Arabidopsis thaliana: one gene and its partner. The protein of the gene in region 1 interacts with the protein of each later gene in a biochemical or structural test. Each region holds a gene or a part of one and is shown in the gene's direction. Other genes may lie near its edges. The genes, in order: LARP6c and PAB2.

What was found.
Region 2: the proteins of LARP6c (region 1) and PAB2 interact in a test that uses a peptide from one of them, tested with the Arabidopsis thaliana proteins (one study listed by BioGRID).

The regions. Positions count from the first base shown.
Region 1 is NC_003074.8:6,595,550-6,610,668, forward strand, and holds LARP6c (RNA-binding protein), read left to right. Parts: upstream 1-5,891; 5' UTR 5,892-5,916; coding exon 5,917-6,369; intron 6,370-6,528; coding exon 6,529-6,610; intron 6,611-6,751; coding exon 6,752-6,846; intron 6,847-6,934; coding exon 6,935-7,167; intron 7,168-7,245; coding exon 7,246-7,324; intron 7,325-7,400; coding exon 7,401-7,448; intron 7,449-7,535; coding exon 7,536-7,604; intron 7,605-7,691; coding exon 7,692-7,817; intron 7,818-7,896; coding exon 7,897-8,160; 3' UTR 8,161-8,373; downstream 8,374-15,119. Other genes in the region: AT3G19080 (SWIB complex BAF60b domain-containing protein), read left to right, coding at 533-846, 1,067-1,169, 1,249-1,423, 1,847-1,997, 2,089-2,206, 2,342-2,516, 2,615-2,674, 2,749-2,921 and 1 more; AT3G19085 (F-box/RNI/FBD-like domain protein), read left to right, coding at 4,037-4,426, 4,519-4,662; AT3G19100 (Protein kinase superfamily protein), read left to right, coding at 10,132-10,677, 11,354-11,484, 11,622-11,663, 11,770-11,878, 11,981-12,356, 12,464-12,576, 12,684-12,791, 12,871-12,933 and 2 more; AT3G19120 (PIF / Ping-Pong family of plant transposase), read right to left, coding at 14,129-15,119. UniProt on the Arabidopsis thaliana protein: Transcriptional regulator.
Region 2 is NC_003075.7:16,331,083-16,347,541, forward strand, and holds PAB2 (poly(A) binding protein 2), read left to right. Parts: upstream 1-5,208; 5' UTR 5,209-5,649; coding exon 5,650-5,917; intron 5,918-6,150; coding exon 6,151-6,269; intron 6,270-6,456; coding exon 6,457-7,113; intron 7,114-7,202; coding exon 7,203-7,280; intron 7,281-7,355; coding exon 7,356-7,445; intron 7,446-7,712; coding exon 7,713-7,850; intron 7,851-8,084; coding exon 8,085-8,255; intron 8,256-8,357; coding exon 8,358-8,507; intron 8,508-8,591; coding exon 8,592-8,810; 3' UTR 8,811-9,232; downstream 9,233-16,459. Other genes in the region: CER9 (RING/U-box superfamily protein), read left to right, coding at 98-781, 888-1,649, 1,742-1,953, 2,033-2,401, 2,561-2,721, 2,805-2,968, 3,062-3,208, 3,291-3,782; LEJ1 (Cystathionine beta-synthase (CBS) family protein), read left to right, coding at 10,112-10,324, 10,425-10,512, 10,601-10,665, 10,851-10,899, 11,163-11,215, 11,340-11,455, 11,587-11,644, 11,737-11,811; UGT73B3 (UDP-glucosyl transferase 73B3), read right to left, coding at 12,186-13,631; UGT73B2 (UDP-glucosyltransferase 73B2), read right to left, coding at 14,394-14,857, 14,947-15,934. UniProt on the Arabidopsis thaliana protein: Binds the poly(A) tail of mRNA. Appears to be an important mediator of the multiple roles of the poly(A) tail in mRNA biogenesis, stability and translation. In the cytoplasm, affects both translation and mRNA decay.

The DNA.
Region 1 (15,119 bases):
ATATTGTGGTCTAATCTTCTTAGGCAGATATGACCTCAGGGAAGAAAGATTATTATGAGTTGCTCAAAACTACAATCTTTAAATAAATATTTGGGTGATGAAACTTCTAGTTCTTTTTTTTTTTTGGTCTAAAATGAAACTATTACTTCTAGAAGAGAAATATCCAACTCTTTTTTTTATTCCAAGCAAATGATAACCAAAAATGCAATAAAGGTGTTAATTTTTATCATAAATATATTCTAACTATGGTCGTAACTTGTAATGGAACACCTAGGCATTTTTTATTTTTTTGGTGCACACCTAATTCGAGGAAAAAGGTTGAAGTAATCATAATTACATAAGTTTCTAACTATGGTCGTAATCGAACACATCTAAGGCGTAGTAATAATTAAGGAAAAAGGTTGAAGTAGCAAAACGACGAGGTTACGATTTGTAAATTCCATAAATGCCCTCTCTCATTTTCAACCTCAAAGAATCGTTTTTGGCTTTCATCAGCCGCTTCGTATTTTTGTTTTCTTCAGTAACGGAAAAAATGGTTTCCGACTTGGACCTCGTGACCCGACTCCGTGAGATTCTCGGTAGCTCCGACCTGAACACGGCGACTCCGGCAAGCGTCCGTCGTCAGTTGGAGGCGGATTTCGGTGTGGACTTGACAGATAAAAAAGCGTATATTAGGGATCAAATCGATACTTTTCTCGAGAGCAATGGCGCGGTAGAAGACAAACCTGAGAGTCCCAAGGTAGAAGAATACATTAATGCCGACGAAATCAAGGCGGAAATTGAAGGAGGCGATGGAGAAGACCTCGACGGAGATGGAAGTGGAAGTGAGGAAGAGAAGGAAGAACGGTAATTACTCTTGTAATGATTGTGCTTTATGTGAAATTGGATTTTTGAAATTCAAATATCGATGAATCAGTGATCATACACACACACAAAGATTGAGTATTTATAGGAATCTTTAGCATTTTTCAATCGAACCAATCAAAATGCTTCCGATGCATTTCTAATCAAAGACCACTTGTTTAATGACTTAAGTTTAAGGGATTATTGTTCATTGATGTGTTAGGCCAGTAAAGGCCAAGAAGCGAGGTGGTGGCATTACCAAAGTATCTCAGTTATCTCCACAACTTGAGAAAGTTGTTGGAGCATCTCAGTTAGGTCGAACCGAGGTAATTTTCATCTTCTTCCGACAACTGTTCTGCGAAGCGGAATTGTACTTTAGTCTTTTGTGTTGTGTATATTTATCAGGTTGTGAAGAAAATGTGGGCATATATCCGAGAGAAGGATTTGCAAGACCCAAAGGATAGGAGGAAGATAGTGTGTGACGAGTTGTTGCATTCCTTGTTCCGTGTTAAGACCATTAATATGTTTCAAATGAACAAGGCATTAACCAAGCATATTTGGCCCTTAGGTGATGGAGATGGTAATTCTTCCTTGTCATTATACAATTCAGAAAACTTTCACATGAGACTGCATGATATCTGTATATATATCCCTAGTCTTCCTGTTCAGTCAGTCATTGATCCTAAATAGCTAGATCAGCTAAATATCCCTAGTCTTCCTGTTCAGTCAGTCATTGTATCATGTGTCTGAAATCAAGTACCCCACTGTAGAGAGTGATCATGTGTAATTGTGTGGAAATAGTGTTCATCAACTGTTAATAGTGTTGAATATTGATATTTTCCCTCAGCGTTTGAGTTGTTAGGATGCTTATATATTTGTTCAAGAGACCTCTCTAATGAACATCAATTTTGTTTAGTAAAACAGTATTATAGATTTCGGGTTGGAGACAGCAGTTCCTGAGTTTGTGTTACCCAAGTACAATGAAATGATTTATTTTTTCCAGGGTGTGCTAACGATGTGAAAGAAGAAGATGAAGATGAGGCATCAGAGGGAACAGATAAGAAAGGGGAGCAGAGCGAAGAAGTGGAAGAGAATAAGGAAGAAGAAAGTGAAGAGCAGGAAGTTAGGAGTTTGCGGAAACGCAAGAGAAAAAAGTTTGTTTTCTCTTTCTCCCTCAGTTCTTGTAATTGTACAGCTAGTTATCGCCACCCTGTGCCCATAAACTAAGTTTTCTCTATTAAATAGGCCAGCCAAGTCGGTAGAGAAGCCCAAGAGAAAAGGAGGAGGCGGCTTTGCTAAAGTTTGCAGCCTCTCGCCAGAGCTTCAGGCGTTTACTGGGGTGACAGAATTAGCCAGGACAGAGGTACATGTCTGACTCGAGGGAATCAGTTTCTCTTCGTTATTGAACTCAAGCTCTGAGCCTAAATTTCTAAGCTACTTGTCTAATTTTCTTAACCAAGTCTCTTGTTTTGACATTTTGTCTGGTGAATGGTTTCAGGTTGTGAAATTGCTTTGGAAGTACATAAAGGAGAACAATTTACAAGATCCGAATGATAAACGCTCTATAATATGCGACGAATCATTTCGATCTCTGTTCCCTGTCGAGTCCATCAATATGTTTCAAATGAATAAACAGCTAACAAAGCACATATGGCCTTTAGAGGATAATGCAGGTATTTGATGACTGGAAGTTCTTACATGTTCTGGGAGCCATCTTTTTCCGGTTTAGGCTTTTTAACCGTATACTAACTGTTGTTTGTCTCTGGTCTAGGAGAATCAGTTAGCTCTAAGTCTCCAAAGAATGGAAAGCAAAAAATGGAATCAGATGGAGGTAAGAAAGCTAGATGAATTTAAACTTATCCCATTTCTCATCACTGTATAAACAAAGCATATGCATTCGGTCAGACACAGATAGTGAGGAACCAAATGAGAAAGATAAAAAGCAGAAGAAAGAAGTTCTTGCTCCCCTTCCACTTTCAGATGCTCTTGTCAAGTTCTTGGGTGATGGAGAAAACTCGCTGTCGAGGGCGGATGTGGTAAAGAGATTGTGGGAGTACATAAATCATAATGATCTTCAGGTATGCCATTTGCTCTCTACACTCTGTTTTTTCTTACTTACCTGCTTCTTTACACCATTTTCTTAACTTAGGATCCTTCTGACAAGAGGAGAGTCATATGCGATGAGAAGCTGAAAGAACTCTTTGAAGTTGATTCATTCGAAGACACATCAGTCTCAAAACTTCTGACCAACCACTTCATCAAGGCCGAACAATGACTCTTTAGGAAGTAGCCAGTTTTCCACGTAGGCAAAACCCAGTTCTCCTTTCCTGGACATTTTTTTTGGATCAGTAGAGGTCGGTTCAGGACTTGTAACGCGCGACAAAGCCATTTTGGATTTGATTTGGTCTCCTCCTTCACTTTACTGGTAAGTTAAAGACTAAAAAGGTATCTCGATTGTGAGACTTGTAAGCATTGCGTTTTCTGAATTTGCTTGCAAGTGCAGCCTTTTTGAGTTCTTTCAAATGTTTGCCCTTTTTGGTATATAGTGACAGAAACCAAATTCAAGGATAATATATGTTTTAAGACCAAACCAATTGTTTTGATCATTTCCTCGTTTTGCATATTCTTAGTTGTACAGTGAATTTTGTTATGCATCAGAATCCGAAAATGTTGTTACAAGGTTTTGTCGCTGATTGAATATGCTCAGCAGTTGGTCATAGCGTTTTGTTAAATCTCATATAAGTTTAAGTTCTCTATTAAAGTTATTAGTAATTTACAAAACTTTACCATCAAAACATGTCAAAGATTATTGCATAGAATGGCTCATGTTTCAAATTCTCGTGCCGTGAAATGACCATGACCATTTGACGAAAATTGTGGCTTTACACATGATTCTACCAACCAATTGACAATAGTTCACTTCAATAACTAGAAACTCTAAATACCTAATGATAGAATTAGAGAAAGCAGACAAGTATTCTTTTCAAAACAGTGGTTGAGCGCGGAGTCCAACATTTAGATGTGGAGTCTCTTATGGATCGTTCTGGCCGAGATTACATGACTGAGCTGAATTATAACAGCAACACATTGGTGTCTTTGAAGCTTGCAAACGTAGGGATTATGGATTTGGATCCCCCGCTTGGTGTTTCTCTTCCTTGTCTCAAGAGCATGCATCTTGCAGACATTTCGTACGATGATGGAGAAACTCATCGCAGGTTGTCCTGTTCTTGAAGACTTTGCCTTAATTCTGCCTGATGATGAGCGCCACAAAGCTATGCCTTCTCTGCGTGTGAGGTCTCAGACTTTAAAGAGCTTTCTGTTCGCGTTTGAGTTTAATACCACTGGTAAAGCTTTTGCAGTTGAGATTGATGCTCCAGCACTCAAGTGTATGACTTTCAGTGATAGTCAATCTGATAAGATTGTGTTGAAGAATCTGAATTCTCTTTCCATGGTCGATATCAATAGTGACTTTCATCTTAAGTATGGGAAAACTTTGGGTCCAAGAAAGAGAAACGTTATCCGCGATTTTCTCATTGGTATCTCTAGTGTGAGACATATGATCATCTCTAAGCTTACTCTAGAGGTAATATATATTCACTTCCATGCATACTTCTAGCATTCAAATATAGTTTAATGATCTTCCTTGATGTAAATTTGTTTCTTTCTTTCGTGTAGGTCCTCTTTCGATATTCCAAATTGGGACGGAAATTTCCCAAATTTGATAACTTGACTCGTTTGGAAGCTACACTCTCTAGATCCATGTTAGAACTATTTCCATCCTTTCTTGAGAGCTTCCCGAACCTGAAAAATCTCATATAGGTAAGAATCTGTTTGAATCTGTGATTTTGTTAATTAGTAGGAAGTACATTAATTGTTGGATATATATTGTCAGGTGCTTTCTGATTTAAGAGAGGCAAAGGAAATCAAACTTAGCCATGTGCCTCAGTGTATGTTATTGAATCTGGAGAGTGTTGAGATCAATCTGCAGTATGGTGAGATCAAGAGAGTGATTATCATGGAAGAAACCGTGAAGGAACTAGTGAGATATTTTCTTGAGAATTCAGTAGTTCTCATCAAGAAACTGATTCTGTGTTTTGAAGATCTTTCTAAAGCAAACCAAGATTCAGATATCTTCAAGGAGCTTCTTAAATTCACTAAGCTTTACCCGCGTTGTCAGATCATTATCCACTGAAAATGTCATTCATGAATATCTACTTAGAAATCTTTTGTTATGATAAATATGGAGACATGAGTAACATTTGTTGTTTTCTACATTTTGGTTTAAATCATTCGGTTATGTTCTCTACAATGTTTCAATCAAAATGGCAAAATCAACTAAATTTGGGTATTAAATCGGGAAGTCAACAAAAGTACACTATTGTACGATTCCAAACTTAGCAATTTTACGGCGAGTAGAATTGAAACATTCTTGCATCACAACTTCTTGTGATTCCAAACTTAGCAATCGGGAAGACAACAAAAGTACAAAATCAACCCTGGGCTTTTGTCTTGTTTGTGATTCCAAACTTAGCAATTTACAGTCAGCAAGTAAAATTAACATTTTTTTATCTATTAATATGGGTCGACAAATAAAACATACATTACATGGTCAATTATAATGACAAAAAAAAATACCAAATCAGAACAAAAGCAATATGAATCTTTATATTAGTTCTTTATTAATGTATATTGTGTAAATTTCATTTTATATATGTAACAAAATGTGTTATTACTTAGAAAGAGATAGCTAAATAATTTGAGAGAAAAAAAAAAAGGAGAGTTAAATACACAGTCAAACGTGGACGCTTATTTATCTCGTTAAAAATCCATAGTTTGCGCGAAAAAACAAGGCTTCAAAAGTTTTCCCATGTTTTAATATTATTGGGAGAGTGAGAAATAACCGAGAAGAACAAATCAAATCAATAGAAAAAAAGTATAAACAAAATTCAAAACTATTCAGTATTGATATTTGTTTACATTGAAAAAAAAATTAACTTAAAAAATATAGTTTACACAAAAAAGAAAAACCAAAAAAAAAATTGTTAGAGATTTTTTCAGAGTAGTGAGAGGAAAATGGCGCAGATGCAGCGAGAAGAAGTAGAGTCCGTCACGACGGAGAAGAAAAGATTAGACGGAGGCGGTGGATCTTCCGGCGCTCAGGCAACGGCGTTCAAATTCAACGCTCAAGCGCCGGAATTTGTACCGCGATCACATACCACCGCACCAGCACCGCAGGTTTCTCCTGTCTCCGGTTACTTTTATCCTTGTTTTCATTACAACGGTGGTTGCATAGGAGGATGTGGCGGCGGAGTCTGCGGTGGTGGAGGGACCGGCGTTGGTACTCAGTCGTCGGATTGGATCTACGTGGGAGGAGGAGATCCTACTGCTCAGCATCAACATGTTCATGATCCAGCGGCTGCGTTTTACATTTCGAATCCGGCGGTTCAGTTTCCGGCTAGTCAGAACTCGTCTTCTTCGTCGAAGAATCTGCTTTCCGATGATCTCCGCCTTAAGATCGTCAAACAGGTTTTCACTTTTTTTTTTTTTTTTTTTTACTTTAATGATAGGTAAAATATTGAAAATCATTATGTCATGAGATCTTAAGATCATATATGATTTACATTAGCCTATCAATTTTCATAAAATAGAAAACCTAACTTGACTCACAAGAAACCACTTTTATAGGTTGAGTACCAGTTTACGGACATGAGTCTCCTAGCCAACGAGTCCATTTCAAAGCATATAAGCAAAGACCCTGAAGGTTATGGTAAGCCTAAATTTTTTTTCATTTAACTTGTATATGATCCTTGAGATCTCTGCTCTGTTTTGCATTAATATATATGTTTAAAATATGATCCTTGAGATTTCTGCTCTGTTTTGCATATTCATATATATGTTTAAAACGCAGTGCCCGTATCCTATATCGCTTCGACCAAGAAGATCAAGGCTTTAACGAGTAATCACCACCTAGTTTCACTTGCTCTACGCTCCTCTTCAAAACTTGTAAGCTGCTTCTTTCTTTACTCTCGACTTACCAACTAAATATTATAAGATCCAAGTATACTGAGAGATCTTTGTGAACACAATTAAGGTTGTGAGTGAAGACGGCAAGAAAGTTAAGCGTACAAGTCAATTTACTGATAGAGACAGAGAGGAATTGCAGGTAAATTTGAATATCACTAAAGCTTCATTGTATTTATTATCAACTATATATGAGTTCTTGTTACTCTTTACTGTTCTGCAGGGCCGGACTGTCGTTGCAGAGAATTTGCCAGATGATCATTCTTACCAGAACCTTGAGAAGATCTTTGGAGTTGTTGGAAAGTAAGAAGGCTTTTTACTTTCATTTTAAACATTTTCTCTACATCAATAAACAACAACTCTGGATGCAATTTGTCTCAGCGTCAAAGCGATTCGTATATGTCATCCTCCAGAATCCAACTCGTCTCGTCCAAAAGGCGATTTCTTGATGAGCAACAAAGTAAGTACCAAGTCCTGTTTCTACTTATCACGTCAACTTAAAGAGCTTAACATATCCATCTTGTTTTACTCTAAAGATTCACGCCCTTATCGAGTATGACAACACTGTTATCGCGGACAAAGCAGTGAGTAAATCTCTACTTTCAACTATCTTTTGATCCAAGGCTCTGTCTATTAGTTTCTGAGATATATAGCAAATGCGATCTTACCAGGTAGAGAAGCTAAACGATGAAAGAAACTGGAGGAAAGGGCTTCGTGTGAGGCTGCTTCTTAGATGCTCGGTTGATTTCTATATTCTCTTCTTAAGTCACACATTTCTCTCTAGACGTTCTGAGATTAATTTCGTTGATATACTTTGTGTGCTACAGCCAAAATCGGTGCTCAAGAACCGAAGAAACTTCGATGGAATCCTCATCGATGATGAACTCCCTTCTTATGAATCAGGAGAAGACTCTCCGCGTCTCCATTTAACCGAATCACAGCTTGATAACGATGTTAGTACTGTTGCTTAAGTCCCACGAAATGTTTTTCCATATATATATAGAAACTAAATTTTCTTGCTGTGCACGTTAGGGTGATGACAACAATGTTGGTGGACTGTGGGGTAAAGGGAGAGGAAAAGGACGAGGACGATCCCCAAGAAGCTACGCAGTAGGAGGAGGAGGACGTAGCTTCGGGATTGGGCTCGGAGTCAGCCTCGGGATACCCAGCCTGGGGTCACACGAATCTTCGTCTCCTAAAACAGCAACAAAGGGACCAAGAATGCCTGATGGAACCAGAGGCTTCACCATGGGACGTGGCAAACCTTCCATCTCACTCTCACCTAACAATCTCTAAATAGTTACCCACCACAAGGACTGCTATTTATAATTGATTTATTATAATAGAGGTAAAAGATTTTAGAGTTAATTAACCAAATAATACATATGGATTGGTTTTCCTAAGATGCATTCAAAAGAAGCAAGGCACATGACTTGGGAGAAGATAGTGAAGGCACGGTGACGTTTTTTGAGGGTTCGTTTTATATAACTTTTTTCATTTTTTGAGGCAATTTCTTTTCTGTATGTTTAATATGTTTTATTTTTGTGAGATTATTATTTGAATAATAAAGGGGTAATTTATATAGCACAAGAATTGCAACCCTCTCAACTCTTTGTTTTGATTTAGATGAGTAATGGATTTGAATAAGTGACTGAAAGATTGGGTGAAACTTGAAAACTAATCAATTTTCTTTCTAAAGAAAAACTAAAAAAACATGATGAATAGTTTATAAAAAGCACAAGCACAAGAAAGGAAATAATCAGGTAAAATGTTACTATCTTCTTGCATCCTAACTAATTCCAGTAACTTGTATCTATTGACATTCCCAAATGGTTTTTTAACCGGTTTGATATATATTAATTTTTAAGACATATTCGACAATTCTTTAACAACCTTGAAGAAGGCGGAGTCACTTATTGAATCCATTATTCATCTCAATCAATATAAGGAAGTGGGTTTTGTTTACAATAATTGCCATTTTTCGATTGGATTTTGTTTACAAAACCCAATACTTGAAAAGACATTTTTCAATGACCTTAGATTGGATTCAATGTTGTGAAAAAAAAAAAAAAATGGATTCAATGTACAATTTTTTTCTAAAAATAAGTGAAAAGACAAATGAGTATTGAGATAACAAAAGTTCTTGCCAAGGTTGTCTAGTAATTTCATAACCTATGGTAGTTGTCAAACAAACTAATTTATAGTATCATATTAATTATAATAAATGTATAATCTTTAATTGAAACAAAACCTAATTTTACTCCCAAATTAATAGAAAACCTTCAAAGGATGGAAATTGTTGGACATGTATTTACATGAAACCAAACATGCAATATCAGTAAACCAACTTCATAGTCTATACTAAATTACGTACCGATTGGTAGATAGAAATAATGATAACTAAACTGATCTTAACGATTGGTATTGGAGAGAGATTTTCAAATCAAGAGTTAGTAAGAAAAAGAAAAAAAGAACTTAGAGATGTGGATCAAATATTTTGAAAATGATGAAATCTTATTAAAAATTGAAATTGATATACGACCTGTCCAGATACAATGAAGTTGTTAGGTTACAACATCAGCATGTTTCAAAAAGGGTCAAGCAGGTACATCCAATCAATTTATATAACGTAAATCCTGATTTTCAGAGCAATATTATTTGTATCTTTTATAACCTCCCTAGTTAATTAGTAATAAAATATTTAATTTAGTAGTATCACAAGATGGAGCTTTAAAAGTTATCTTTAATTCCCACTTTTGAAAATGATAACGTCCATAAATACATTTCAAAACGTTTTTATTCTCCCAATAAGATATCAAAAAGACAATATCAACAACAAAAAAGACAAGAAAAAAAGACAAAAAATAATGATAGATAAAATACAAAAGCAAAAGAAAACGTATAGTATTGCTTAGAGAAAGAACAAACATATTGTGAATTAAAAAGAAAAAAAAAGAGGGACAAAAGTAGAAAGACGTGGCAAAAAGCAAACTAAATTTCGACCAATCCACATCTAAAATCTAACCTTCTTCATCAGATGGAAGGAAGCTACTTCACCACCCGCAGATTCTGCCATGTGGCTTCTCTCTCTTCTACAGCTCACTTCTTCTCTCTCTGTCTCTCTCTAACTACATTGAAACCAAACCAGAGTGCTTCAATGTCATTGCTGTGATTCTCTTTAAGTCCAGACATAACTCCCATATCTTCTTCTTCTGTCTTTTTTTATTTCTTTGAACCGGAGAAGAAGAAGAAGAAGGAGAAGGATATATGGGAGGCTGTACTTCCAAACCTTCCTCCTCCGTCAAACCTAATCCTTACGCACCCAAAGACGCGGTTCTCCAAAATGACGATTCTACCCCTGCTCATCCCGGGAAATCACCGGTTCGTTCATCTCCCGCCGTAAAGGCCTCTCCTTTTTTCCCTTTTTACACGCCTAGTCCCGCCCGGCACCGCCGTAACAAGAGCCGCGACGGCGGAGGAGGAGAGAGTAAGAGCGTTACCAGCACTCCTCTCCGTCAGCTCGCGCGTGCTTTCCACCCTCCGTCACCGGCGAGACATATACGGGATGTTCTGCGGCGGAGGAAGGAGAAGAAGGAGGCTGCTCTGCCGGCGGCGAGGCAGCAGAAGGAGGAGGAGGAGAGGGAAGAGGTAGGGCTGGATAAAAGATTTGGGTTTTCCAAGGAGTTACAGAGTAGGATTGAGCTAGGGGAAGAGATTGGGAGAGGGCATTTTGGGTATACTTGCTCTGCTAAGTTCAAGAAAGGAGAGCTCAAAGATCAGGAGGTTGCTGTTAAAGTCATCCCAAAATCTAAGGTCATTTTTACAGCTTTACTTTTTCCAAATTCTCAAGTTTCCATCTTAAGTTTTCTGCTTCAATTGGCTCAAGTGCTTCATCATTGTAGTGATAGCTATATCTGACAAATTGAAGATTCTTTGTGTGTCTTGTCTGATTTGTTTAGTAGATGTTAAACTGTTTCAAGGTAGAAGAACAAACCATCATAGTCTCCTTTTGCTTCATGATGAACCTGTAATTTGATCATTACGGTCTCTTGAGATGTTTCTGTTCTTCTCTACGAGCTTACTGTCCTCTTGTTTGAGCCATCTTTTTGAAAAAATTGATAGCGTATGTAGACTTTCACGCATAGAAATTAATACAAAAACAAGTAATAGCGAACACAGATGAGGTTGAAGTTTGTCAATGACACTTATGTTTCATCCATGTTTTTCAATAGCCAAGTTTTCAATGGTTGTAGATTAGCATTGCTGACTTTTCTGTGAACATTTCTAAACGTTTTAAATTGGTCAATAAATTGGAACATGGACATTTGTGCTTTTGTCAATTGTCATTAAGCAATTGAAATTTTGATGGTCCTTATTTGATGACTAAGAAAGTTAATCATGTAATCGAGTTAGTTGGTGTAATATACAGATAGGTTTAGTGTTAGCTTAATCCACAATAGACTGTTTCTCATCAGCTTTGGTTTGGCAGATGACATCTGCAATATCTATAGAGGATGTGAGAAGAGAAGTGAAAATACTGCGGGCGTTATCTGGACATCAAAATTTGGTACAATTCTATGATGCGTTCGAGGACAATGCCAACGTTTACATCGTTATGGAGTAAGACAATCATGTGCTTATATATTCCTGTGTCATGTTGAATCTACTAGGAGAGCTATCAGATTCTTATTTTCCCGACTTGGCTTACTTCAAAATGTTTAGCTGTGAATAAACATTTACTTTCTTTCAACTTTCAGGTTATGTGGAGGTGGTGAACTTCTTGACAGGATACTAGCAAGGTCTGCTTTTAAAGATTGTTATGACATTTGTTAACTTATGGTCAGAGATCCTTCTTAGAGATGTTCTATTGGCTGTCTAACTATTTCAAATTTACTTCTCTTACAGGGGAGGAAAATACTCTGAAGATGATGCAAAAGCAGTGCTTATACAGATCCTTAACGTCGTAGCTTTCTGTCATCTCCAAGGAGTTGTTCATCGAGATCTAAAACCAGAGGTGAACCGCACTTTTTGTCTTTGCTTTTTCCTTTCAAAACCCAAAAGAAATATTGTCTTAGTTGAATACCAATCTCACATTTGAAACACTTTCATGTTTCAGAACTTCTTGTACACTTCCAAGGAGGAGAATTCTATGTTGAAAGTCATAGATTTTGGCTTATCGGACTTTGTCAGACCAGACGAAAGACTAAATGATATAGTGGGAAGTGCATATTACGTAGCCCCTGAAGTTCTACACAGATCTTATACCACAGAAGCGGATGTATGGAGCATAGGAGTCATAGCATACATTCTCCTATGTGGAAGCCGTCCTTTTTGGGCAAGAACTGAATCAGGAATTTTCAGAGCAGTTCTAAAAGCTGATCCCAGTTTTGATGAACCTCCTTGGCCTTCGTTATCCTTTGAGGCAAAAGATTTTGTTAAGAGATTATTGTACAAGGACCCTCGGAAAAGAATGACTGCATCTCAAGCTTTGAGTCAGTAATCTCTAAAATATCCACATCTTTCTATATTTATCTTCTGTTTCTAGCTTTTCATGAATCACCAGTTGAAGTTACTCCACGTTTTTTTCCGGTTTTTACAGTGCATCCTTGGATCGCGGGTTATAAGAAAATAGATATCCCATTTGATATTCTGATCTTCAAGCAGATCAAAGCATACTTGAGATCTTCGTCTTTGCGCAAAGCTGCTTTGATGGTACATTTTGCTTCTAACCTTTTTTACTGTTTCCAAACAACATTTAAGGATGTGTTTGATATTTATTACCTTTGTATCTAGTTTGCTAACTCTTTTATTCTCTCCAGGCTCTGTCCAAGACATTAACTACCGATGAACTTCTTTATCTGAAAGCGCAGTTTGCACACTTAGCACCCAACAAAAATGGCCTCATCACTTTAGATAGCATCAGACTGGTATGTGCCTTCTCTTCCTCTCTGTCTCTCTCTGGTAGAAAGCAAACAGCTCAAAGCTAGATTTATTTCTGTTGGACAGGCACTTGCGACAAATGCAACAGAAGCAATGAAGGAATCACGGATCCCGGACTTTCTTGCATTGGTATTGTCTCCTTTCTGTTCTTGTCCTTTTGCTTAATCTGTTTAAGATACAATCCAAGGTTGGTTAACGAAAGTTTGGTGTTGGGAAATGACAGTTAAATGGACTTCAATACAAAGGGATGGATTTTGAAGAGTTTTGTGCAGCTTCCATTAGCGTTCATCAGCATGAGTCTCTTGATTGTTGGGAGCAGAGCATTCGTCATGCTTATGAGCTATTTGAAATGAATGGAAACCGAGTTATCGTCATCGAAGAACTCGCTTCTGTAAGTTTATAAGAAATTCGACACTTGCTTCTGTCATGCTTAACAATTTATTCAGCTAATTCCTAAACGAAGGGAACATAAATGTTTTGTAGGAACTTGGTGTTGGATCATCCATCCCGGTTCATACCATTCTAAATGACTGGATAAGACATACTGACGGGAAGCTGAGTTTCTTGGGTTTTGTCAAACTGCTGCACGGTGTCTCGACTCGACAATCTTTAGCGAAAACGCGATGAGGAAAGTGACTCGGTGTTATAACGGATTCGAAAGAGGAAGAACATACAACTGCAAGAAGCAAATGGGTGGATTGGGGTTGGGAATTGGAATTTTTTTCAGGACCCATTCCTATGTTTATAGTGTTAGAAAAAGAATGCTAAGTTCCGACAAAGAAAGAGAGTATCCAGAAAAATCCGACAGGCCTGGAGAGTTGTATAATAAGATGATAATCCACAGTCGTGTTCTTCCAAATCATGGAAGACAGATATTAAGAACATCCCTTTCTCTTTTCATTTGGCTGTCTCCATTTTTTCCAGGAAAAAGATTCAGATTCCATTCACAATGTGCCACAAAGCAAATCATAAAAACCCATTCCTAAGTCACAAAACTTACAGTAACAGAGAGCTATTAATATTTCAAATTCGGAAAAACTTGCTTCTCAAGATTCCATAATCCATATCAATAGAAGTCATACATTTCATTCTCAAAAGGTGTTACAGAACAAACCATAAACCCATTCCTAAGTTACAAAACTGACAGTTGGGATGGCTAGGCAACAAAGTCAGCTTTTTAACATTTCTGAATCCTCAAACTTTCTTCTCAAGAGGATTGAATCTACAATGCTATCTAAAGTTCTAAACACTTGAAAGCATCTGCTTCTTACATGATAACAAAGATAGAAAGCTCCATTTTTTGACCAAGATCTGTTCATGTCTTTTACCTCGAGGAGAGTCTCTGGTGTAAATCTTCTGCCAATGCTTGCCTCAAACTCTCCCCGTAATAGTAAAACTGCCTCTCACTCTCCAAAACTCTTGCAGGCGTTCCAGCTTCATCTGGATCCTTCCAAATCTCCGGTTCAGGTTCTCTAGCAATCTGACAAAGATTATGCAACACACAACAAGCCACAATAGTCTGAGGAGCATGGTTCACACCAACATTCAAACTCTGAAGAATCTTCCATCTAGCCTTGAGCAATCCAATAGCTTCCACCACCACTGACCTTCCTTTCATCAACATTCCATCGAATAGATTCTCCGGTGGCGTACCAGAGCCATTTGGTGAAAATGGAGTCATCAGGAATGAGAGAAGAGGATAACACCAATCTCCAACAATGTATGGTCTCACATGGTGACCTCTAATATTGATAACTTTCTCCCAAACAATGTCTCCTGAAGTAAGCCTCTTATATAGAAGACTATCTCTGAAATGAGAAGAGTCGTCTTCTCCACCTGGAGCTTTCACACAAACGTCCCAAAAGATCTTCTTGTGATCAGCAACAACCTGAAGCAAAACGGCGTCGTATCCGTACTTGCAACCGTAAATGTTTCTAGGGTTTAGTTTCGTGCGGCGTCTGAGCTTCACCGGAGTACTATCAATGGCGCCGCAAATGTTGGGGAGAGAGGTGAGTTCTTCGAATCCCTGAGTCGTTTCGATCAATCTCCGTTTTCCGACGGGGATTTTGATGAATTCTGGATATAGCTTGGTGGCTAAGAGACGTGTGACCATGTTTGTGATCTTGGAGATGAGGTATGGATCTAGTGAGTAGCGAGAAGCTAGGGTTTTAGCTGAGCAGCCATGAGCGAGACGAGAGAGGACCATAGCGACGGCGTAATCGGCGGGGAGAGAGAGATTTGAAGCGGTGATGAATGGTTTGAGCTTGTCGACGACGGTGATGAAGACTGGGTAGGAAAGACCGTACAATGAGCGC
Region 2 (16,459 bases), on another chromosome or scaffold:
GTTGACAGTTTAAAGTCTTCTCTTTTAATATGTGTTTCTTAAGTAGGAGTTCCACATAGAAGAGAACACGTGCTTATTGTTAATTTCATCTCTGCAGGTTTGCAAGCATCCTTTTTCATTCTCCCCAGTATATGCTGACAATGCTCCGTCAAGGCTCCCTTTCCAGGAGTTTGTAGTTGGCATTGCTATGAAAGCTTGCCATGTTTTACAGTTCTTTCTGCGGTTGAGTTTTGTGCTTTCTGTCTGGCTTCTCACTATACCTTTCATTACATTTTGGATATGGCGTTTGGCTTTCGTGCGAACTTTTGGTGAAGCTCAAAGGTTGTTCTTAAGCCACATCTCCACCACAGTAATTCTCACTGATTGCTTGCATGGGTTCTTACTATCTGCAAGTATTGTCTTCATCTTCCTTGGAGCTACTTCATTAAGGGACTACTTTAGGCACTTACGAGAGCTTGGGGGACAAGAAGAGAGAGATGATGATGTGGACAGAAATGGTGCTCGTGCTGCAAGAAGACCTGCTGGACAGGCTAATAGGAATCTTGCTGGAGAGGGGAATGGTGAAGATGCTGGGGATCAGGGTGCTGCGGTTGGTCAGATTGCTAGAAGGAATCCTGAAAATGTTCTGGCAAGGTTGGACATACAAGCAGCTCGTCTTGAGGCTCAGGTTGAACAGATGTTTGATGGGTTGGATGACGCTGATGGTGCAGAAGACGTTCCATTTGATGAGCTGGTTGGAATGCAAGGTCCAGTGTTTCATTTGGTTGAGAATGCCTTTACTGTAAGTTGATGTTTCTACTTTTTGGCAATGTATATTTTAAATTCTATGTTCCTTCTTCTTCACTATTGGCCCTTATTAAATCTTCATGATGTGCATAATTTTGCAGGTTCTAGCAAGCAATATGATATTCCTTGGTGTTGTTATCTTCGTGCCCTTTACCTTGGGACGGATTATATTGTATCACGTGTCATGGCTTTTTGCTGCTGCTAGAGGCCCTGCTGTGGCTGCATCATTGCATCTTACAGATACCGGACTCTCATTGGAAAATATTACTCTGAAGAGTGCGCTGACTGCTGTCTCGAATTTGACTAGCGAGGGCCAAGGAAATGGGCTGCTTGGTCAGCTCACTGAAATGATGAAAGTCAACGGAAGTGAATTGAATGGAGCAAACAATACGCTATCAGTTGCTACTGATCTCCTGAAAGGTTCTACTGTTGGGGCCTCAAAGCTTTCTGATATTACAACTCTGGCTGTTGGGTACATGTTTATCGTATTTCTGGTGTTCCTTTACCTTGGGATCATTGCACTGATTCGATATGCCAAGGGTGAGCCACTGACTGTTGGAAGATTTTATGGTATTGCATCTATAGTAGAAGCTGTACCATCCCTCCTTAGACAGTTCTTGGCAGCAATGAGGCATCTGATGACCATGATCAAAGTTGCCTTTCTTTTGGTCATCGAGCTTGGGGTCTTTCCTCTGATGTGTGGTTGGTGGCTAGATGTTTGCACTGTTAGGATGTTCGGTAAAACAATGTCCCACAGGGTACAGTTTTTATCAATTTCTCCTCTGGCAAGCTCACTTGTTCATTGGGTTGTTGGAATCATGTACATGTTGCAAATAAGCATCTTCGTCAGCCTTCTTCGAGGGGTACTGTGTTGTCCCTACTCATTTTCATTCTAGAAATAGTTTTTTTCGCTGCTGCTATCTAAATATATCTTTTCACTTTGTGCCAATTGCAGGTTCTTCGTCCTGGAGTTCTGTATTTCCTTCGTGATCCAGCAGATCCTAATTACAATCCATTCCGAGATTTGATTGATGATCCAGTGCACAAGCATGCTCGGAGGGTACTGTTATCAGTTGCAGTGTATGGAAGTTTGATTGTGATGCTGGTATTTTTACCAGTCAAACTTGCGATCCGGATGGCTCCTTCAATCTTTCCACTTGACATATCGTAAGAAATATTGACTAACCTCTTGTTTTTGGAGATTTTGTGTTTGATTAGGTCTTTCCTAACTTGGGCATATATGCAGTGTATCCGACCCATTCACTGAGATTCCCGCCGACATGCTTCTGTTTCAAATATGCATTCCATTTATCATCGAGCATTTCAGACTTCGGACCACAATTAAGTCCCTTCTACGCTGCTGGTTCACTGGGGTTGGTTGGGCGCTTGGTTTAACAGACTTCCTCTTGCCAAGACCAGAAGACAACATTGGTCAGGACAATGGAAATGGTGAACCAGGAAGGCAGAACAGAGCACAAGTGTTGCAGGTCGGAGGACCTGACAGGGCCATGGCTGCGCTTCCAGTAGCTGATGACCCTAACAGAAGTCGCCTCCGTGCTGGGAATGTCAACACGGGTGAGGAATATGAAGATGATGACGAACAATCTGATTCTGAGTAAGTTCTTACTTTAAAAATAAGCTAATAGCTTGTTTGATATTAAGAATTTTGGCATACTTGAATAAATTAACAGGACTTTTCGCTTGGTATATAGAGTTGACTAAGTACTTTAAGACTCCCATTAGGGCTTCCCCTGATATGAATGTATATTTTTAGCAGGTACAACTTTGTGGTCCGGATAATTCTCCTTCTACTTGTTGCATGGGTGACTCTTCTTCTCTTCAATTCAGCATTGATAGTTGTGCCAGTTTCGCTGGGACGTGCTCTATTCAGTGCCATTCCCATTCTTCCAATAACTCATGGCATCAAGTGCAATGGTAATGTTTGTTAATTTTGATCTTCTGAGTCATTCTTTGGCACGGGTTACACATTATTAACAGTATTCCCTAAAAATATGTAGATCTGTATGCTTTCGTCATTGGCACATATGCCTTTTGGACTACCATATCTGGGGCCAGGTATGCTATCGAGCATGTCAAGTCAAAGAGGACTTCAGTCTTGCTTAACCAAATATGGAAATGGTGTGGGATTGTATTCAAGAGCTCGGTGCTGTTAGCCATATGGGTAAGTGTTTTGTGCTGTTAAATTTTCAATATACGAGAAACTCTAAACTCTACTAAATGTGGATTCTGTACTTTTCAAATGGTGATTGAACAGGTTTTTATCATTCCGGTGCTAATTGGACTTCTGTTTGAGCTTTTGGTGATTGTCCCAATGAGAGTCCCAGTTGATGAAAGCCCTGTGTTCCTCCTGTATCAAGACTGGGCTCTTGGGCTCATCTTTTTGAAAATCTGGACTAGACTGGTAAGTAATTTTCTCCAACAATCAGCAACTTATTTCCGCAGAAGAAGATATTTTGTCACTAAAAAACAACGTCAATGGACAGGTAATGCTGGATCATATGCTTCCAATAGTGGATGATAGCTGGAGAGCAAAGTTTGAGCGGGTAAGAGAAGATGGCTTCTCGAGGCTTCAAGGGTTATGGGTACTTAGAGAGATTGTGTTCCCGATCGTCATGAAACTCCTAACGGCTTTATGCGTGCCTTATGTGTTGGCAAGAGGAGTGTTCCCAATGCTCGGATATCCGCTTGTTGTGAACTCAGCGGTCTACAGATTCGCGTGGATAGGTTGTCTTTCAGTGAGCCTCTTCTGCTTCTGTGCAAAAAGATGCCATGTCTGGTTTAGAAACCTTCACAACTCTATCCGTGATGACCGTTATCTCATTGGTCGGAGACTGCATAACTTTGGGGAAGCTGCTTTAGCTAATCAAAACCAAAACCAAAGTAGTGAGGATGCAGGAGATGGTGTCTTGATAGGACGAGAGGGAGATGTTGATAATGGACTTAGGCTCAGACGTGCAATCCAACAAGAAGCTTAGAAAGAAACTGTGCACTGAGGCGTTTAACATTTTGTGTACTTAAGCCGTTAAGAGATGGCTTTGAAAGATTTATTATTAGTCGATGTGTAAATTATTATATCCGTTGATGATTCTCTTTTTTTTGTTTTTGTGTACGAAACTAAAAGATCTTTAGAATAATGCTTCGTTTGTCCATATGCCTTGTGTGTTTCTATGATAATGCTTCTAGAATACCTTCGCTTACTGCAAATTCTTGTCTTTTGTCTCTTATGTTAGTGCATGTAAGCCTTAAGGAATTGGCGTTGAAGATCTATTTGGCCGATGTGTGATTGTAGACATACTCGTTGATACTGTTTTTGGTTTTTTATTTTCCAACAGAATAAAAATAAGAGGAATGTTATAACCCCATTAGATAGATGTCCATATCAGGTTCATCTCAGACCCATATGCTTCAAGGGTTATGGGTACTTAGAGAGATTGTGTTCCCGATTGTGATGAAACTCCTAACGGCTTTATGTGTGCCTTATGTGTTGGCGAGAGGAGTGTTCCCAATGCTCGGATATCCGCTAGTAGTGAACTCAGCGGTCTACAGATTCGCATGGATAGGTTGTCTCTCAGTGAGCCTCTTCTGCTTCTGGTTTAGAAACCTTCACAACTCTATCCGTGATGACCGTTATCTCATTGGTCGGAGACTCCATAACTTTGGGGAAGCTGCTTTGGCAAAACCAAAGTAGTGAGGATGCGGGAGATGGTATCTTGATAGGACTTTAGGGAGATGTTGATAATGGACTTAAGGCTCAGACGTGCAATCCAACAAGAAGCTTAGAAAGAAACTGTGCACTGAGTCGTATTAACTTAGGCTTGGAAATATTTACTAGTCAATGTGTATCCCGTTGATCCTCTTTTGTTTGTGTATAATATCCAAAGGATCTTAAGAAATGAGTAATGACGCTTCGTATATATATATGCCTTGTGTGTTTCTACTTTCTATTGTAATGCTTTTTGAAATGATTGCGTATTGCAAAATCTCATCTCTCATCTTATGTTCTTTCGTGTCACAATTCTACTGGAAGGCCAATCGTGTATTAAGTTGAATTGTTTTGATAAGTCAAATCTTAACATATTGGTTATTTAATTAAGATACTTTTTGCATACCATATAAAATCGTGCGGTAAATATTAATATTAACAACTTTTACTTTAGGAAAATCAAAATTCATCAAGATCCAGTGAGAATATTGCTAATCAGAGTTAAGAAATGTTAAGATAAATCAAAGAAAATATCATCACTGTACAAAATTTTAACAAACTTGGTTACTAATTAGATTCGAAAGTGTCAAACACGCGCGTATCTGTTTGACTTTTCCGAAAGTGACGAGAAGGAAGACGACCTTATCAATTCACCAGCAACTCTAAAATCAATCCTACGATTTACTTCAGACTCGATCCAACGGCTGAGATCAATCTCACACTCCTAGGGTTCTTCTAGGGGAATTAAAGGTTTCTTTTTTTTGTTGGGTTAATAATATAAAAGCAAAGAAAAGGAGAAACCGTAATGCTTCTTTTTCATCTATCGTAATTGTGCTTGTTTCGCCTAGAATCTCTCGGCCCCCAAATATCTCACTCGCCGTCGCAGGCTTCGCCGCCGGCAATTTCTTACCCTATTTCATCTTCCCTCTCCTCTGATATACCCATAAAAACACAAAAAAAACGAAAAGATAAAAACTTTGGCTTTAGTTTTGTTGATTTTGTCATTCGATTCGATTTCTTTTTCTTCTTTCAAATTCTAGGGTTTTCGATTTGGTTTCAGTCTAATAACGAGAGGGGAGGGAAGAGTAACTAAAACCCCAAAAAAAGTCAAAAAAGTTTCGAAAATCCAAAAAAAGATAATGGCGCAGGTTCAACTTCAGGGTCAGACTCCGAATGGTTCGACCGCGGCGGTCACTTCTGCTCCGGCGACGTCAGGTGGAGCAACGGCGACCCAGTTTGGTAACACGTCGCTTTATGTGGGGGATCTCGATTTCAATGTGACGGACTCGCAGCTTTTCGATGCGTTTGGCCAAATGGGTACTGTGGTCACCGTTCGTGTCTGTAGGGATTTGGTCACTCGCCGATCTCTTGGCTATGGATACGTTAACTTCACCAATCCCCAAGACGGTTAGTCTCCTTAATTTTATTTGGACTTCTTCTTACAATTTCCAATTTTTAGGGTTTGCTCGATAGTACCAGTACTGGATTTGAATGAGGTGTGTTTTAAATGTTGATACTTTATGGTGTTTGTATGTATGCAATGTGGTTGGTGCTGTTGGAAAGCTTATCCCCTGCTTAATCAATCTTTTTAATGCTACTTCTGTCTTCTAATGGTACTTTATCTCGTGTCTTTGTTGCAGCTGCAAGAGCGATCCAAGAACTGAATTACATACCTCTTTATGGAAAACCTATTAGGGTTATGTATTCTCATCGTGATCCTAGTGTTCGCCGAAGTGGCGCTGGCAACATTTTTATTAAGGTACGCTTGTCTCTATCCTTCTGACATTTGAGTTGCTGTAAGACGAGATGATTGTTGCGAAAAAATTTGTATCTTGTATTATTCATTGAAAAGTCTGGCAAAAGTAGTTGATTTCTTTAGTTATGTAAGTTTTTTTATTGGGTGTTCTTTCTCTCTTTCTGATGCTAAACCTGGCTATAATATGCAGAATTTGGACGAGTCCATCGACCACAAAGCACTGCATGATACTTTTTCATCGTTTGGAAACATTGTGTCGTGCAAGGTAGCTGTCGATTCTTCAGGCCAGTCAAAAGGCTATGGGTTTGTGCAATACGCCAATGAAGAATCTGCCCAGAAAGCTATAGAGAAACTGAACGGCATGTTGCTCAATGACAAGCAAGTGTATGTGGGTCCTTTCCTGAGGAGACAAGAAAGAGACTCCACTGCTAACAAAACGAAATTCACCAATGTGTATGTGAAGAATCTCGCGGAAAGTACTACCGATGATGACTTGAAGAATGCTTTTGGCGAGTATGGAAAGATAACAAGTGCTGTCGTGATGAAAGATGGAGAAGGGAAGTCCAAGGGCTTTGGGTTTGTCAACTTTGAAAATGCTGATGATGCTGCTAGGGCTGTGGAGTCTCTCAATGGGCACAAATTTGATGATAAGGAGTGGTATGTTGGTAGAGCCCAGAAGAAGTCAGAGAGGGAAACAGAATTAAGGGTCCGTTATGAACAGAATTTGAAGGAAGCTGCAGACAAGTTTCAAAGTTCAAACTTGTATGTTAAGAATTTGGATCCTAGCATTTCAGATGAGAAACTTAAAGAGATCTTTTCTCCTTTTGGTACCGTTACATCTAGCAAGGTTCAATGTCCCTCTCTCTCTCTCTTTATTTGTAGTGAGTTGACTCTCCTAGTTCATTATTTAAGAAGTTCTTTTATTAAATATTACAGGTGATGCGGGATCCTAATGGAACAAGCAAAGGCTCAGGTTTTGTTGCTTTCGCAACTCCCGAAGAAGCAACTGAAGCTGTAAGTCAGTTGTATCGTCTTGTTGATTGTATTTATGAGGACTTTGATTGTTAGTAACAGTGGAATACTGTACAGATGTCACAGTTGAGCGGTAAAATGATCGAAAGCAAGCCACTCTATGTGGCTATTGCACAGCGGAAGGAAGACAGAAGGGTCAGACTACAGGTTTGCTTCTCTTGGAATCACCTCGTCTTGTGATACACTTACTACTCCTACTTTGCCTGTTGGAGTTTCAACTCTAAACAATTGGACCCATCATGTACAAGTCTTAGAATGTCCCACTGCGTATAATTATCAATACTGATGCTGATTCTTCTTTATAATCAAGTGCAACAATATATAAAGCATAAACAACATATGTCCTAGTATTTTTGTATCACAGAAAAATCTCTTTTTTCTCCTGCTGCTGAGTATTTGCATTGATGTGAATAGGCTCAGTTTTCCCAAGTGAGGCCAGTTGCAATGCAGCCGTCTGTTGGTCCCCGCATGCCAGTGTATCCCCCGGGTGGTCCTGGTATTGGACAACAAATGTTCTATGGTCAGGCCCCTCCTGCCATGATTCCTCCCCAGGTAATCTTCATGTTACTCTACTTTAAGTAGCCGTGTACGATTTTACACAAAGATATGCACATGTTTATTTTCTACCTTGGGTATAATGAATTACAAGCTGACAGATGCTTTTAAGTCACATGAAAAGTTTTTAAATTCTTTAGCTCTATAGTTGCTATACTCATACTTGAGCCTTTCCAAATCTATTTTGAAACTGCTGGGATAATATTAACCTGTACTTATGCAATGCCACAGCCTGGGTATGGATACCAACAGCAGCTTGTTCCTGGAATGAGACCTGGTGGGGGTCCTGTACCCAGTTTCTTCATGCCTATGGTTCAGCCACAGCAGCAGCGTCCTGGAGGAGGAAGACGTCCTGGGGGAATCCAACACTCCCAGCAGCAAAATCCCATGATGCAGCAACAGGTTCTTCTCTTTTCCTTATTTAATTGCAATAAAGGCTGCTTTGCTTGCTTGGCTCTCTTTTAATAGTTGATCGTATGGTTTTTCTGTTTGGATGGTGGTTAGATGCATCCAAGGGGTCGGATGTTCCGGTATCCCCAAGGGCGTGGTGGTAGTGGTGATGTGCCTCCATATGATATGGGCAACAACATGCCATTGACTATTGGAGCTTTGGCTTCAAATCTGTCTAATGCTACTCCAGAGCAACAGAGGACGGTGAGAGAATCTCTTAAAAACCAAATAGAGAGACTGGTTTTGCTTGGATTATAATAATGTGACCCTTTGGGTGTGTTTGTACAGATGCTGGGTGAGGTGCTGTACCCGTTGGTGGAGCAGGTTGAGGCAGAGTCTGCAGCCAAAGTGACTGGGATGCTTTTGGAGATGGACCAGACTGAAGTGCTCCATCTGTTGGAGTCACCAGAAGCTCTCAAGGCCAAAGTTGCAGAGGCTATGGATGTTCTCAGGAGTGTCGCTGCTGGTGGTGCAACCGAGCAGCTCGCTTCCTTGAACCTCTCTTAAATTGCTTTTTATCATTTGATCTTTGGCTTTTGTCTCTCCCATACAATTGGAGTTGTTTCTTTGCTATTCGTTTTCTCCCTGGGAATTTGGATTCCTCCACATAACTGCGTTTGTGTTATTTTAAACCTTCGTTTTTAAACCACAAAGGAAAAACCTATCTGCTTTGTTCTTTTGATTTAGTTGCGTGTTCTAGCTTGTTCGATCTAGTGTTCACGGAAGATGAATTTGATTACCAATAAGGCCAATGCTGGTGATCCCCCTCTTTGGCCTTTTGACTGTTGGTGGTTGTTGCTTCTAGTCATTTTTTTTACCAGTTTTTCAAGCTCTATTTTATGGTAAAAAGGTGTCCTGGTAAAAATGGATGAATGGGTCTCATTCTCAGCAGACAATGTTTGAATGAGAAAGAAATACATTTTAAACTTTTTATACACTTTGCTTCTAGATTGATTGGGACTAGTCGAATAGAAATCTTAGTAGAGGTCTAAGGAAACATGATACACATCTTGTTTGGTTGAAATCTTACCATTGTTTTTGGTTTCAGTTATTGATCTGGTTTTTGGACTACTTTTTCTGCAACTATTTGAGAATGAGAAATTACTTACCAAAAAAAAGAAAGTCTTCATCTACGCCAAGGATTTAGAATATTCGTACATGAATTTTGATTTCCAGTACATTGCGTCATGAACTATATAGTCTACTTGTTTTTTTTTGTATCTATTTGACATGCAGCAAAGCCAGCAACACATCTTTTATTGAGTCTGATGATATTTGTGAACTAATTCGAAAATATTTAAAAGATTCGAGTGTATGAAAGGTTTAACTATTATCAAAATCTCTAGATATTTCAACTGATGGCAACACTCAACAATCTCACAATCACGACATAAAAATCCAATAACACTTGAAACCAAAAGAGGGTTCAAATTAGGGTTTCTTGTTAAATCGAAATTGGACTTTTATTTATTTATTAACATCTGACTTTTGAGTTTTGACCAAAAAAAAAGATGGAAAATATCGCTTTGAAATTGAGGACCCAAAGGAAACGTAAATATGCCGACCAATCAACCATATACCAAAAATTGATATGTGGCTATGTCCCCACCACCACCACCTATCATATCACAAGTTCTCTCTACTTTTCTCCGAATTTTACCACCCAATCAAAACGCTTCTCTCTTCTTCTACTTCTTCACTTCTCTCTCCTTCAACAAAATTTTCTACCTTTGTTTCTTCTCTCAGATTTCATAAAGAAAAGATTTAATCTTTCATTGGAATCTGTGAGTAACAGAGGATAAGCGAATATGGGTTCAATCTCTTTATCCAATTCTATGCCCATAACTCGACTTCCACTACTTACATCACTCTATCATCAAAGCTTCCTTCCGATTTCTTCTTCATCTTTCTCTCTTCTTCCTCTCTCTAATCGTCGTCGCTCCTCCACTTTTTCACCGTCAATCACCGTCTCTGCCTTCTTCGCTGCTCCTGCCAGCGTTAATAATAATAACTCTGTTCCGGTGAGTCAACTTTGCTCCTTTTAGATAAATCCTTTTATTTACCTAATAACCCTTTTGGCTTATGGTTTGAGATTTGTTTTGGCTCTTTTGGGTGTTTCAGGCAAAAAATGGAGGTTACACAGTTGGGGATTTCATGACTCCGAGACAGAATTTGCACGTTGTTAAGCCCTCTACGTCGGTCGATGATGGTAATTATGCGGGAACAGATTTTCCATGAATTTAACAGTCAATCCTTGTACTAGTCTCGTAAAAATTGTCTTTTTGGTTGTCTTTCAGCGTTGGAACTTCTGGTTGAGAAGAAAGTCACGGGATTGCCTGTAATTGACGATAATTGGACACTGGTAAAACTAAGAAACTATATCTTTTGTCATTGTGTTCCTCTGTTTAGAGTCTTGAACAACAAGCTCGTGATTAAACTTAGTCATGAATAACAAGCAACGTCGGTTTAGTTACTGATTTATTGGATTTAGAAGTTAACAAAATATGCTTTGTCTTACTTACTCCTCTGCTGTAATTTCTCCTGCAGGTTGGTGTTGTTTCTGATTACGATTTGCTTGCATTGGACTCCATCTCTGGTAATATATACATGTTTTTTGTACTCAAAAGTATTCTTAGATCTTCTGTTGGTGTGATGATCACCACTCTTTCAGTTTCATTATAATCAGTTAAGAAGGGCTTAAGTCATAATCTACTTGTAGGATTTCACTTCTGGACTTCTGGTGGATCTTAGTTTTGTTGGCACATAGCTTTCATGTTTAGTTTTGTTGTCATGAACGTTTTATGGTTTTGTATGGCGCAGTTTGGTGAAAACAACTTAACCTCTTGTCCTTTGTAACAGGTCGCAGTCAAAATGATACAAACTTGTTCCCTGATGTCGACAGTACCTGGAAAGTATGTTTCTCCCTATCTGTTTATCTACGTTTTGCTTTATCTGAGGACTATTGTTTGTTTCATTTGCATGAATTTCCTTGGAATGAGGTTTACTTATATAATGCTTGAATTCTCTTTTGGCCAGACGTTTAACGAACTACAGAAACTGATCAGTAAGACATATGGAAAAGTTGTTGGAGACTTGATGACACCGTCTCCTCTCGTTGTCCGTGATTCTACCAATTTAGAAGATGCAGCCAGGTATCTTCTTCTTTATGTTTTCGCTTTGCAAACATTAAGTTGAGAGGCTTAGGAGGAATGAGTTCAATAAGATTTTTCTGGGGACATTATAAGCAACGTTCTTACAAGAACTGTAACCATTTGGTCTTCAGGTTGCTTCTGGAAACAAAGTTCCGAAGATTACCCGTTGTTGATGCTGATGGAAAACTGGTAAGCATCCCAATTCTTCTTCTTTCTGCAGTTTGATTTTGGTCTGATCTTTTCAGTTTCTAAACACTTCTTTTTGCTTTCCGTGCAAGAAGATTGGGATCCTTACAAGGGGAAACGTTGTAAGGGCTGCGCTGCAGATCAAACGGGAAACCGAGAACTCTACATAGCTAGGAAGCAGCAGTGATGGAGCAGATCTGAATCTGCCATAGTTAATAGCGAAATCTATTTATTCCATTGATATAAGTATATATGTAACCATTCTCTGTCAATTTTCGGTTTTCAGAAGCAATTTTTGTTACTTTAGGAGTAACATTTCTCAGACTCGGAACTGAAGACAAATGGTATATTTGATACATATATGTTTATTGTAGCACAGGTCTACTCTTATCACCAAGACAAAGACTAAGCAGAATCGAACTAATTTTCAATTTCTTACTGAGGTCTTTTCAATGAAGCTATTCAAATCGAGAAACGAAGACCCTTTTTTCTCCACCGCCGGCTTTGGCCATCACAGCCTCTTCTCTGCCATATTCTCTGCTTATTACGAGGTAAACTCTTCTATGAAGCTGTTTAGATCGTTGAAAGAAGACCCTCCTTCCACGGCAGCTTTAGCCATCTCTGCCAACTTCTTTGCCCTCTCCCGCCTCTCATCCGCCTCTTCCCCAACCAACACCTCCCTCACCGCTTTAACCACTTTCTCTCTGCTAATGAAATCTCCCGTAGTTCTTACATTCTTTTTCGCTCCCACGCTCACTCCTGTTCTGAGCACTTGCGTAACCAATTTCTCATTGTAGAATTGCTCCGCTGCTACAGGCCATGTCACCATTGGTAGCCCTGCAGCCACTCCTTCCAGAAGCGAGTTCCAGCCGCAATGGGTCACAAACCCACAAGTTGCTTGATGATCAAGTATGAGCACCTGTGGTGCCCATCCTCTTATAATCATCCCTTTTCCTTTCACCCTCTCTTCGAACCCTTCTGGTAACCATTCTTCTTTTTCAATACCTATGTTTTTCCTAACAACCCAGATGAAATTTGCTCCAGAAGTTTCTAATCCTGCAGCGATCTCGAATAGCTGCTCGTTCTTGAAGCAAGCCACGCTCCCAAAAGAAATGTAAATGACTGAATCTGGTTTCTTGGAGTCAAGCCATTTGAGGCATTCAACCTCATTAATGCTTGCTTTCTTTCCTCTCTCAGCCTTCTCCTCAAATCCTCTGTTGTAAACCGAAAGCGGACCGATATGCCACGCTCTCTTCAGTACAACACTCTTGTAAAAGTCGGCGTAATCAGGTTCAAGCTCGTAGAAGCTGTTTACAATAACACCTGAGCTCTTCACATCAGATTCTTTGACCTCAATCATAAACTTCCCCATCTCGCTTTCTTCGTCACGGTCTGCTATCTGTTCTTGAGTTATCACTATGTTCCCCGGGAGATCAGGAATCACAAATGGCTCGTACCTTGAAGCTACTATGTTTTGTGGGTTATGCACTCTGATGCAATATTCAGAGCATAAAGAAAAGTAGCCAGTACCGTGGAACACAAGTCTTGGCACATTGAACTTCTCAGCAGCTTCCGTAGCCCAGGGGAAGAACATGTCGGCGATAAGACAGTCTGGTCTCGTTGTCTCGAGGAGCTTCTCAAGCTGATCTTTGAAAAACCTTGTCGACTTAAAGAACTTCAAGGTCAGATACTGTCTATCATCATTGTTGTTTGAGGTGAAGAAATCGACGTTTTCGCATCCTTCTGGTAACCCGAGATCCACGCAAGGGAAATCGAAGATCTGGATGTCGATTTCGAAACTCGGATTCAGGTTCTTGAATCTTTCGATGGGTTTTTGGAAGATCTTGGAGTTGAGAGGTGTGGTGAGGATTGTAGATTTGGCTCCTCTGCTAGAGAAAAGCTTAGCCATGTCTAGAGTTGGTATCATGTGACCATAAGCCATGAAAGGGAAGAACACAACATGGAGCTTACGATGAGGATCACTACTCATGTTTGACTTTGATCGAAAAGAAAATTTAAAAAATAATAAAAAGAAATCAGAGATTTTGAAGCTCCTAGAAAAGTGATGTTTTCTTGTCGTGTTGAATGATGTGGTAAGAGCTTATACTTTTATACATATCTATATATAGCACATAAAATCCACACGGAAACTTGAATTCTGGGGAGACTATTTTGGGTAATAACGATTTTGACGTCGTGACATACGTCACTTGTTTCCGGTACGTCTTTGCATACGTCGCTTGTTGTTTAACTTATTATTTTGGTAAATGTCTTAATCATGACAATAAAGTGTTTTACTAATCGTCTATGTAAACATCTAGTACTTTATTGTTGTACATGTACGAAAAAATACCAAGTAAATAAAAACAGTTATACTTTTGTTTTGCCATTTACGGAATTATTTATTTCTCTAATGGATTGGGTCTGTATATTAGAGGAAAGTGAGACAATAATGTGTGGGTTAGTGGTCCACCAGTTAGAAGAATACAAATTGCAACTCGCCTTGTGTGGGTTAGTGGTCCACCATTATTGTTCAACAAATTCATTGTTAGCATTTGAAAATAGTGAATCTTGAACCATTGATTTTCTCCTAACAAAACAGAGGATTATGCTGAAGATAATAGAGACTTAGAGTGATGTCTATGGTAGAGGTTGCTGCCATTTGAATTTAACTCATATCTCTTATATTTTACATTAGCTTTCATCTTACTTCTGCTATGGAATTTCTAAATAGAATCTATATATATGAAGATTATGAACTAAACTCTTCCATGAAGCTGTTTAGATCGTTGAAGGAAGACCCTCCTTCTTCCACGGCAGCTTTAGCCATCGCCGCTAGCTTCTTTGCCCGTCTCCGCCTCTCCTCTGCTGCTTCCCCAGCCAAAACCTCCCTCACCGCTTTATCCACTTTCTCTCTGCTAATGAAATCTCCCATCATAACTTTCATATGCTTGCTCGCTCCCACGCTCACTCCTGTTCTGAGCACTTGCGTAACCAATTTCTCATTGTAGAATTGCTCCGCTCCTACAGGCCATGTCACCATTGGTAGCCCTGCAGCCACTCCTTCAAGAAGCGAGTTCCAGCCGCAATGGGTCACAAACCCACCGGTTGCTTGGTGGTCAAGTATCAGCACCTGTGGTGCCCATCCTCTTATTATCATACCTTTCCCTTTCACCCTCTCTTCGAACCCTTCTGGTAACCATTCTTCTCTATCATCTGTTCACACCAAATCTTGTGTCAGATTAAAATCAAAGCTACCCAAATTACAGCTATATAATATAGGCTTCAAACGTCAATTTCAATACCTTTGGTTTTCCTAACAACCCAAATGAAACTTGTACCGGAAGCTTCTAACCCTGCAGCGATCTCGAATAACTGTTCATTCTTGAAGAAAGCCACGCTCCCAAAGGAAACATAAATGACTGAATTTGGTTTCTTGGAGTCAAGCCATTTGAGGCATTCAGCCTCATCAATGTTCGCTTTCTTTCCTCTCTCAGCCTTCTCCTCAAATCCCCTGTTGTAAACCGATAGCGGACCGATATGCCACGCTCTCTTTTGTACACAACTTTTGTAAAAATCGGCGTAATCATGTTCTAGCTCGTAGAAACTATTCAAAACAACTCCTGAGCTCTTCACTTCCGATTCCCTAACTTCAGTCATAAACTTTCCCATGTCGGATTCTCCATCGCCATCTATGATCTGTTCTTCAGTTATCACAATGTTCCCAGGGAGCTCGGGAATCACAAATGGCTCAGAGCTTGAAGCCACTCTCTTCTGTGGTTTATGCACTCCGATGCAATAACCAGCGCATAAAGAGAAGTAGCCAGTGCCGTGGAACACAAGTCTTGGCACATTGAACTTCCCAGCAGCTTCAGTAGCCCAGGGGAAGAACATGTCGGCGATAAGACAGTCTGGTCTCGTTGTCCCGAGGAGTTTCTCAAGCTGGTCTTTGAAAAACCTTGTCGAGAAAAAGAATTTCACGATCATCTCGTTTTTATCATCATTGTTGTTTGAAGTGAAGAAATCAACGTTTTCACATCCTTCTGGTAACCCCAGCTCCACGCAAGGGAAATTGAAGATCTGGATGTCGATTTCGAGACCCGGATTCAGATTCTTGAATGTGTCGATGGGTTTTTGGAGGATCTTGGAGTTGAGAGATGTGGTGAGGATTGTGGATTTGGCTCCTCTGCTAGAGAAAAGCTTAGCCATGTCTAGAGTTGGTATCATGTGACCATAAGCCATGAAAGGGAAGAACATAACGTGGAGCTTTCGATGATGATGATCACTACCCATGATTGGCTGGTTGAAAAGAAAACTAGATGTTTCGAGAAATTTGAGAAAAATAATTAAGAGAGACGAAAGATTCTGAAGTTCGTAGAAAATAGTACTATTTTTCCTCGTTGTATATATAATAATGGTTGCAAGAGTGTGGAGTATATATAACGTATAAAGCACCAAAATTTGGGTTTAGATGATTAATGGGTAACGGATACTGACGTCGTTGCATACGTCTCTAGTTTTGGTTTCTTTGGTACTTTCTCTCTTAACGTGCCAGAGTAGTGTCAGTTTTCAAGGTCTTTTGGAACCAAAACCTTGTAACTTGTAAACTAATTTCCAGATTAATAAATCATGTTTAATTTATTATGAAAAGAAAAAGGGAGAAGAGAAAAAACATAAGGTATATATACAATCAAGTTAATCCAAAACAAAGTGTGGTTAATTGACCAATATAAAAAAAAATCACGGCCGGATTAATATTATTGTATTAATTATAACAATTATTTTGTTTTCCTGACTTTTTTAATCATGACACAACAC